Rattus norvegicus: one gene and its partner. The protein of the gene in region 1 interacts with the protein of each later gene in a pairwise test. Links are inferred from orthologs where the notes say so. Each region holds a gene or a part of one and is shown in the gene's direction. Other genes may lie near its edges. The genes, in order: Foxr1 and Ppcdc.

Region 1 (4,606 bases):
AGCAGTTGCCTGGCTTACCTAAGGCCCTGGATTCTATTCCCATCATTGATCAGCCATCAGTTAATTAAAGAAAACCAGAACAGGGAACTGGATGTGGCAGTATACACTTTTAATCCCAGCACCCTAGGGGCAGAGGCAGGTGGATCTATTTGAATTTGAGGCCAGCCTTGTCTACATTGGGAATTCCTGGATAGAGAGACAGTGTCTCAAACAAAGAAAAAGAAGAGAGAAGAAAAGAAAGGAAAATATCTACTGAGGATTTGTAAGATGAACCAGTGGATAAAGGCACTTGCCCCCAAATCTGACAATCTGAGTTTATCCCTGGGACCCAATGATTGAAGATGAGAACCAACTGCCCCAGGTTGTCCCCCGACCTCCTCACTAGCACCGTGGCATGCTCACATGCATTCACACCCATAAAATAAATGGACTGTAACATATATGTAAAAGTGTGTATAAGGAGCTGAGCATGATGGTACATACCTGTAATCTTTTTTTAAATGATTTACTTTGAATTTTACGAGCAGGGGTTGGGGATTTAGCTCAGTAAAGCGCTTGCCTAGCAAGCACAAGGCCCTAGGTTCGGTCCCCAGCTCCGGAAAAAAAAAAAAAGGTCGAATTTTACGAGCATTGGTCATCTTGTCTCTGTGTGTGTCCGTGTAAGTGTGTTGAATCCCCTGGAACAGGAGTTACAGACAGTTGTGAGCTGTCATGTGGGTGCTGGGACTTGAACTGGGATCCTCTAGGAATAGTAGCAGCCAGCGCTCTTCACCACCGAGCCATCTCTCCAGCCCTGCACATCTGGAATCTTGGGAAGTAGATGAAAGAAGCTCGAGATTTCCCAGCTACTCTCAGTACACAGAGTTCAAAGTCCAGCTGCTATGAGCCTATTTTCAACAAACTGAAAAGAAATATATGTGTATACGTGCATATGTACAGAGACGCTTACGGGCTGAGATATTATAGTTGTACGGTACAGCACTTGCCTAGCACGTACCAGGCCCACCCGTTCCCGGAACTGAGAAAAATAAACGGATAAATGAATAAAAGGTTAATAAGGATGTAAAGTAGATAGCTATAAAGTTTTTTCTGTAAATTTGAAGTTAAAAAAAAAAGGGGGGGTTGGGGATTTAGCTCAGTGGTAGAGCGCTTGCCTAGCAAGCGCAAGGCCCTGGGTTCGGTCCCCAGCTCCGAAAAAAAGAAGAAAAAAAAAAAAAAACAAAAAAAATTTAAACCAGTTTGCTATTTAATTTAATCTCTGCTCTACTACCTACTGAGTCATCCTGTTTTTTTCCTCGTCATTCATTTATTTGTTTCTGTTCTTTTATAGTTTATGTTTTTGAGACAAGATTTCTGTGTATAGCCTCCTGAAACTAACTCTGTAGGCCTTGAACTCCCAGAGATCTGCCTGCCTCTGCCTCCAGAGTGCTGGGATTAAAGGCCTGAATTGCGCCCACACTCCCTGCTCCTTTTTTTTTTTTTTTCCTTAAAAAAAAAAAAAAAAAAAAAAAAAAAAACCTTTGCTGGTCTAGCAACCTGCACCACCACGCCCCCGCATTTAAACTCCTCCTCCATCCCCTCCATTCCCTAGCCCACCCACCCAGAGATCCTCCCCCTCGAGCCCAGTTTGCTTGGGTAGTTTAGGGTAACCTTGAATTTGTGCTTCCGCCAAGTGTAATTGATTCTAGGAATGTAGCTCGAAATCTGTTTTTAGGGGGTGTGGGCTTCGAACTTGCTCGACAGGCACTCAAGCAGCTGAGCCACATCCGCAGACGCAGGAAAACCTGGTGAGCGCGAGCTGGGTGGATCCTGAGGCAATCCGGAGTGTCTGCAGGGGCGCTGCGCTCCTGACCGTTCCCACCCGCGACTCCCCGCGGTTTGAGGACGCACTTTCCACGCAAGCGAGTCTCTCCGCCTCCTGCACCCCGCACTACTGGTCTCCTCTATCCTTAAAAGTGGACCCCAAAATCCAGGACCGGGACTTCTGGGCCAGCCTCCATGGCCAGGTCCCGGGCTTGTTGGACTGGGATATGGGCAATGAGTGCTTCTTGTCCTTCACCACGTCACACCTGTCGGAGGCCGAGCAGAAACGTGAGTGGGGCTGTGGGGGAGGGGCGCGTGGGTGGCTGCGGCATCCAGTGGGTGGACCGCCTCTGGCTTCCCAGGCTCGCCACTTCACTGGGATCAGGGTCTCGAATCCCACGCAGGCGTGTGTGTGGCCCTACCGCAACTGAGTTCCCAGAGTCCACATATTGTGGGCTACAGCTCATATCCCATCACCCCCAGAACATTCCTAGACCTCGTCTGAGCTTTGGCGCTTGCGCATGAGAACTTGGCATGCCGCAGGCTTTAGTTTTCGGTGTGAAAACAATCACTGTTCTCTTTGGGGAGGTAATCCTTGCGTCTTTGGTTGTTGCTATTTATGTTTTTGTTTTGAAACCCAGGTTTGCCTCAAGTCTTAACAGTTGACCTACTGGTGCTCTAGGCATGGGCCACCATCCCGGGATGCTAGCCCACCTCTCGTTTTATCTGTAGTACAAGATGGAGTTAATAGTGCCAACAGGATGGTGGACCTGTTCTTTTTAAGTTTTTCTTCGTCCTTGAACCGAAAGTTCAAGTTTTAGGTGATCACTCTTGTTTTTTTTGTTTTTTTGTTTGTTTGTTTGTTTTTCCTTTTTCTTTTTTTCGGAGCTGGGGACAGAACTCACTCTTGCTTTTAAAGTGTGTTGATTTTTTTTTCCCCAGTGCAAGGTCGTTGGGTTAACGTTACTCTCCCCACTTCAGTTAGTCAGATCTGTCATTTCCACGTCCACATATAAATGTCTTATTCTTCAGAAGCTGAGACTGGAGTGATTGAGCCCAGGAGTTCTAGACCAGCCTAAAGGTGTCTTGTGCAAGGCCCTACTCTTTGTTTCTGGACACGTTTGTGTATTGTTTTGTTTTGAGACAGGTTCTCACCCTTGAAGCATTGGGTTGAGTCCAGAACTCTAGATCAGGCTGGAGTTCCTGGCTTGGGGCTGTTTATCTAAACAGGAAGAGTAGACAGATGTCAGGGCATGGGGTTCTGGGGAGAAGTGTGATTGGTGACACGTGTTGAGTGGCTTTGGTATATGGTTAGAATTTAAGAGTAACAACAGTTGGACCAAGGCTGAATCCAGTGTAGAGACTGAGGAAACAGATAACCATCCCCAAGAAGACAGCCCAGTATAAAAACAGTGGTAGAGCCTACAGAACCCGGCTGATACGGTGTTACAAGGACTGAGATCGAGAGATGGGCAGGAGGGTCTGGAGGTCAGGATTATCCTTGGCTTCAGCAGGACTCAAGGGCTGCTTGGACTAGAAACTATTGCCCTCCCCTTCCCCCAAATGAAGGAATAAAGGGGGTCAACAAAGGGAAATGGGGTAAATCTGATCAAATACATTATTGTGTGTGTGTGTGTGTGTGTGTGTGTGTGTGTGTGTGTGTGAGAGAGAGAGAGAGAGAGAGAGAGAGAGAGACAGAGACAGAGACAGAGACAGAGACAGACACAATGCCCTAACATTTTCTTTTGTTGTTTTGAGACCGGGTCTCACTGTATGACGGAGATCTTACCATAGGACACATGTGAAAGTCAGGACATCCTATAGGAGTCTGGTCATTCTATTTTGAGGTCAAACTCAAATTGGCAGGCCAGACAGCAAGCCCTGTGACTCACTGAACCATCTCATAGGCTCCAATAGGCTTTTACATCCTCTAAAGGTGCTGTACAATTTTTGCATTCCAAATGTAATCCTTCCACCTCAGACTCGCAAGGGCTGGGACTATATAACCCTATACAAACCCCCTTGGCTTTACTATGTTTTTATGTCCATCAAAATTGTCAGATAAGTTTTTGTGCCCCAAATTCACAATCTTCCTGCTCTCGACTCCTACTACTGGGGTTACAGGTGTGTGCTCTTACAGACAGGTTTATCAATCAAAGTTATTGTGCCTCTTTTTTCTTTTTTTCGGAGCTGGGGACCGAACCCAGGGCCTTGCGCTTGCTAGGCAAGCACTCTACCACTGAGCTAAATCCCCAACCCCTGTGCCTCTTTTTTTGTTCGTTTGTTGGTTGGTTGTTGGTTGGTTCTTCAAGACAGGGTTTCTTGGTATGTGATTGCATCCCTGGCAATCCTAGAACTGGCCTTGAACTCAGAGATCCACCAGCCTCTGCCTCCCAAGTACTGGGATTAAAGCCCTGCACCACCATACTGGATAAATCAAATATTTTAACACAATCCAATCCAAATATACATCAACTGGACACTCACATACCATAGGATGATGTCGTAAAGTCATAAACCTTCGAAGCTGGGCACAGTATTACACCAGCAGTCAGAGGCAGACGAGTCTATGAATTCAATGCCAGCCTGGTCTACATAGCAAGTTATAGGCCAGCCAGGATTACATGACGAGACACCCCCCTCCATCTCAATACAGTCTTACACAATATTTTGTCTCTGTTTTGTGGTTGAAGATTGAACCCAGGCGTGTGCCATCTCAAACAAGGGCTTTTCCTGATGAACTGACCCTAGCCCTAAGTCGTCTTCTTTTCATAACAAAAACATGGGGACCAGGCAAGTGGCT
Region 2 (4,338 bases), about 13 Mb from region 1:
ACATGAAATCGTGTGTCTGTTTTACAGGACTCTTCTGTTCTTGCATCATTTATTTTATTTATTTATTTATTTTTTTTGGAGCTGGGGACCGAACCCAGGGCCTTGTGCTTGCTAGGCAAGCGCTCTACCACTGAGCTAAATCCCCAGCCCCTGTTCTTGCATCATTTGACTGAAGAAGGACAATAGGGTCGAGGTTTGAGGATCGACAGGTAAGTTTTTCTGGAGATTCAAAAATGTGCCTTTTAACAAGCATGGGGGCTCACTCCTTTAATCTCAAAGTCAGAGGCAGGCGGATCTTGGTGAGTTTGAGGCCAGCCTGGTCTACAAAGTGAGTTCCAGGACAGCCAGGGCTCTGTTACCCAGAGAAATCTGTCTCGAAAAACCAAACCAAACCAAACCAAAAAGAAAAAAAAAAAAAAAAAGGATGTGCTTCTTATGGGGCTGGAGACATGGCTCTTGTACTGCTCTTGCAGAGGACCCAAGTTCTGTTCCTATCGCCTGTGTGTACACCCATGTCAGGAAGCCCACAACTGCGCAGAACTCCAACTTCCAGGTGACCGGATGCTTCTGGCCTATGAGAGCATCTGCACTCAAGTTCATATACTCTCTCTCTCACACACACATAATTTAAAAATAATTAACAACAGAACCCAAACGTGCCTCTCACCTACTAATGATGTGCTCTGGGAGAAGCTGGCGGTAGGTCCCATGGACTCTGTCAGTTGTTAACAGTGCTCTTCAGATTTTGGGTGGACTCATTTCTCTAACAGGCCTGGTCCTGGGTGAGGCTATGAATTGTAGCAAGGGTTCTTTGGCATTGGTGGTGGGGCTAGGGTAGAAAGAAGGCTCAGTGGTTAAGAGAGAGCTCTGCTCTTGTAGAGGACCTTGGTTCAGTTTTCTAGACCCACATGGCAGGTCATAACCATCTATTACTCCAATTCCAGAGAACCGGACACCCTCTTCTGGCCATTGTGGGCACTTTACACAAGTGAAGGACAGACATGCATACAGTCAAAATACCACACACATGAGACATACATGCAGTCAAAATACCACACACAGTGCTGACATACATGAACAGTGCCTGCACACATGAACAGTGCCCACACACATGAACAGTGAATATGTAAAGTAAATCTTTAAAAAGTGCTGAGCAAGGTAAACTTTACGAATAGGAGTTGTACCTAGAGAACTAATTTGTGCTTACCCCCTTTGAGAAGGGTACTCTGTATCACCTCAGCTCTTATGGATATATGACTGAATGCTGTGGCAATTGCAAGTGGCAGACAGCCCCATGTGGTTACCTAGGCTTGGAGGGAGCTGGAGCTACTGGGTTCTCCTTCTATGGCTGACCTTGACCTTTTGGAGTACATCTTCTACGACAACATTTTGTCTTGCAGAAAGAGCCACTTACCATTGCTTTTGGCATACACTCAGGCTGTATTGCAGGAGGCTTCAGAAATCAACTGTTCCCATGTCTTTCATATGAGCAAAGAGTTTGGGGGAGGGAATGATCCCTGCTCAAGATCACACACCAGATCAGGAGAACAGCCCTGGACAGGACCTGGACTCCTGCTTCACAGGGCAGGTACAGTGCAGTTTATTCTTCCGGCAGATAACCAGGACTGTGACAGTGAGGGACATGGTGGGTGGTGGTTAATCTGGTCATCTGGTCAACCCAGAGAGATGGCTGGTAGGGGAAGAAGCAAAGGCAAAGGAAACTGATGTCTGAACCGTGAGAGACCCTTGACAAGGTTCAGTGGAGAAAAGGGCGCCCCCCAGATCCATCCACAGAGTCTGTAAAAGCAGCAGTGTTGTCTTCCACACTTTGCTGCCCAGGGTTTGGTCCTCAGTGACTATGGCTGATGGAGTGAGGTGTGCTGGCCCAGCCGCCAGGGTAGAGTTTTGATGTGAGCATCAGCCACAGCATCAGAAGCTGGAGGAGGAGCCCAGGCAGCTGCTCCTGTGGAGTGGCCCACTGCTTTGTATTCGACTGTTAGAAGTCAGTTTGTATTTCGGAGCTCAACAGAGGCAAGTCTCCTGCCTCCAGATGCACTCCCCATTGCCTGTGGCTCCAGTTTACTGGCATCCTTGTACCTTGTCTTCTCTCTGTCTGCTTCACCAGCCAGCCAGGCACACCGCAGTAACTCCCCGGTCTCCACCACTCACCACGGCCCTCTCACATTGACAGCACTCACATCGCTTTCTTACATCAAAGCACCCCATTACAACCCCACTTGTCCCTCCTACCCTTCTCAGGACTCTTCAGCTTCTCTCTTAACCTACCCTGTGTTTTCTGCCATTCTCCTTCAGACCTCTCCGCTTTGCAGGGTCATTCCATTTGAAGTAACTTCCTCCTGCCTGAAACAGTGCTCATCCTTCAGACTCAGCCTGAATGATAACCTTTACGTGACACAATCTGAGACAGTCTCTGGGCAGCCATGGCATAGGCATCGAATGGAGAGGAGGCCTGATTTGGTCCTCCCACTATGTGTTACCAGAAGCTGGGAATGTTTTGCCCAGAGCAACCCCAGCATCTAGATGGCCTAGGGCATACCACATGCAGCTTGTTTTATGACTGAATGAAGAGGGTGCCCTTTATTCTGTTTTAGATTCTTCTCAGCTCCCAGAAAGCCACCAGATCCCGCATGGAACCAGAGGCCCCATGCCCAGCCTCCATACCCTCAGTGGAGAGAAAGTTCCATGTTCTTGTGGGTGTCACTGGAAGCGTTGCTGCGCTGAAGCTGCCTCTTCTGGTATCAAAGCTTTTGGACATTCCTGGGGTGAGTATCCTCTCAAGATAAATGTAGTGGCTTCTGGCACTAAGGAATCGCCTCTTCTGGGGCAAACTCGTTTCTGCAGATGTATTTTTCCCTTAATCCTGGTGTGTTAGAGGGAGATCCTCTGTGTGTGCTGGCGTGTGAGGCACACAGGAGACAGACGAGTGTACAAGATAAGCACAAGTTAGATTGAGATACTGTAGGTGGGGCACGAGAGACGGGGAGGGAGCCACGACCCCACACACTGACCCTGAGGGTTCATGAAGTCCTCTGGTCTTGAGAAGGGCAGAAGAGTCTCAGCACCCCTCATTCCCCTGCTCCCGCTCTCATTCCTCCCTGAACGCCAGGCTCGGGTCTCCGTCCTTGGTCTGACACTTTGCTTGTCTCAAACGTACTGAGCTCTCCAGGGGCTGCTCTTGTTCCAAGCCCAGTTCCCTCCAGTGTTCTTAGATACTCCAGAAGCCACTCCTGTGTGGTGGGATGGGAGATTTTTTTTCACCCTGTTTTTGGCCAGGCCACCTCAACTTTGACTAGTTTTATATCTGAGGGTTCAGGAGCAGAAATTCAAAGACTGAAATATGATCAGCTCCAGCAGGTAGATGCGTCATTTCCGCAGAATCCTCTGTGGGTCTGTGTAGCCTCCTGCTGTTCCTGTGTTCTATCTAATGACCGTTGCTGTGGGTTACCTCCTACAGATAACTGCCCCTTTCTCTTCACTCTTCAAGTCTGTATGAACCCCCAACTCACACATACCTTTCCTGCCTGTCCCAGCCTGGGTGGTTTTATTTTCTCCTAAACTTACTTGACATAGAGCCTAGGCTGCGTTGGTCCTGCATGTGTTAATCCAGCACTAGTTTTGTGGGGGCACACATTAAGACACTGAGGTTCCTTTTCCTTCCTTGTGTCTGAATAGCCCCTGATGTGGGACCGCCTAGGTGGCTGTATCCTGCATGTCCAGCAGAGGGCGCTTCTCTCACACAAATGACTGATGTGGGTCCTTCCAGTCCGGGACTGGAAAACCTTGTTTCTTTCTTTCTACCAACTTCTACCGCGAATGTTACCTCCTCTCCAAGTCCCTCCCTGCCCCCAGGCTGAAATAAGCGATGACGATGCCAACTGTGCACAGTCAGGAGAAGAGAGATTCTCATGGCCGCTCTCTGTTTCATGTGCCCCAGAGCTGTTGCTAGAAGCTGATCAGATAGAGCCCGAGACAGAAGGCCTGGAAAGGGGCTCTGACGTAGTCACTGCCCCCTGGGGAGACAGGCGCTCAAACAGTCCGTTTTCCCATAGCCCCAGAGCAAGTGAGTTTCCGGGTAGGGGGATGGGGGTAGGGAGTCCTATCCCAGGACACAGATGGGCAGCCTCAGAGCACAAGGGAATGGTAACACCACTTCCTCCCAGCCCATGCATGTGTGGGGGTGTAAGGAAAGGGCTGCTGGCAGGGTGGTGGCTCCACCTACCCCAGGCTTTCTTAGCCTGGGCCCCTGGGAGGGAGGACAGGCTGTGTCTGGAACAGGCCTTGGCCCGTTCTTTCTCTGGCTGGGGTTGGAGCCCAAGT

What was found.
Region 2: the proteins of Foxr1 (region 1) and Ppcdc interact in binary tests that used the Homo sapiens proteins (3 or more experiments, as listed by UniProt). The two-hybrid records come from large-scale screens. The link is inferred for Rattus norvegicus from reciprocal best matches to the Homo sapiens genes FOXR1 and PPCDC.

Annotation. Positions count from the first base shown.
Region 1 is NC_086026.1:53,662,855-53,667,460, reverse strand, and holds the start of Foxr1 (forkhead box protein R1), read left to right. Parts: upstream 1-1,589; 5' UTR 1,590-2,030; coding exon 2,031-2,091; intron 2,092-2,131; exon of another isoform or gene 2,132-4,606. UniProt on the Homo sapiens protein: Transcription factor which acts as both an activator and a repressor.
Region 2 is NC_086026.1:66,731,859-66,736,196, reverse strand, and holds the start of Ppcdc (phosphopantothenoylcysteine decarboxylase), read left to right. Parts: upstream 1-1,508; 5' UTR 1,509-1,510; coding exon 1,511-1,588; intron 1,589-2,612; coding exon 2,613-2,783; intron 2,784-3,892; exon of another isoform or gene 3,893-4,081; intron 4,082-4,338. UniProt on the Homo sapiens protein: Catalyzes the decarboxylation of the cysteine moiety of 4-phosphopantothenoylcysteine to form 4'-phosphopantotheine and this reaction forms part of the biosynthesis of coenzyme A.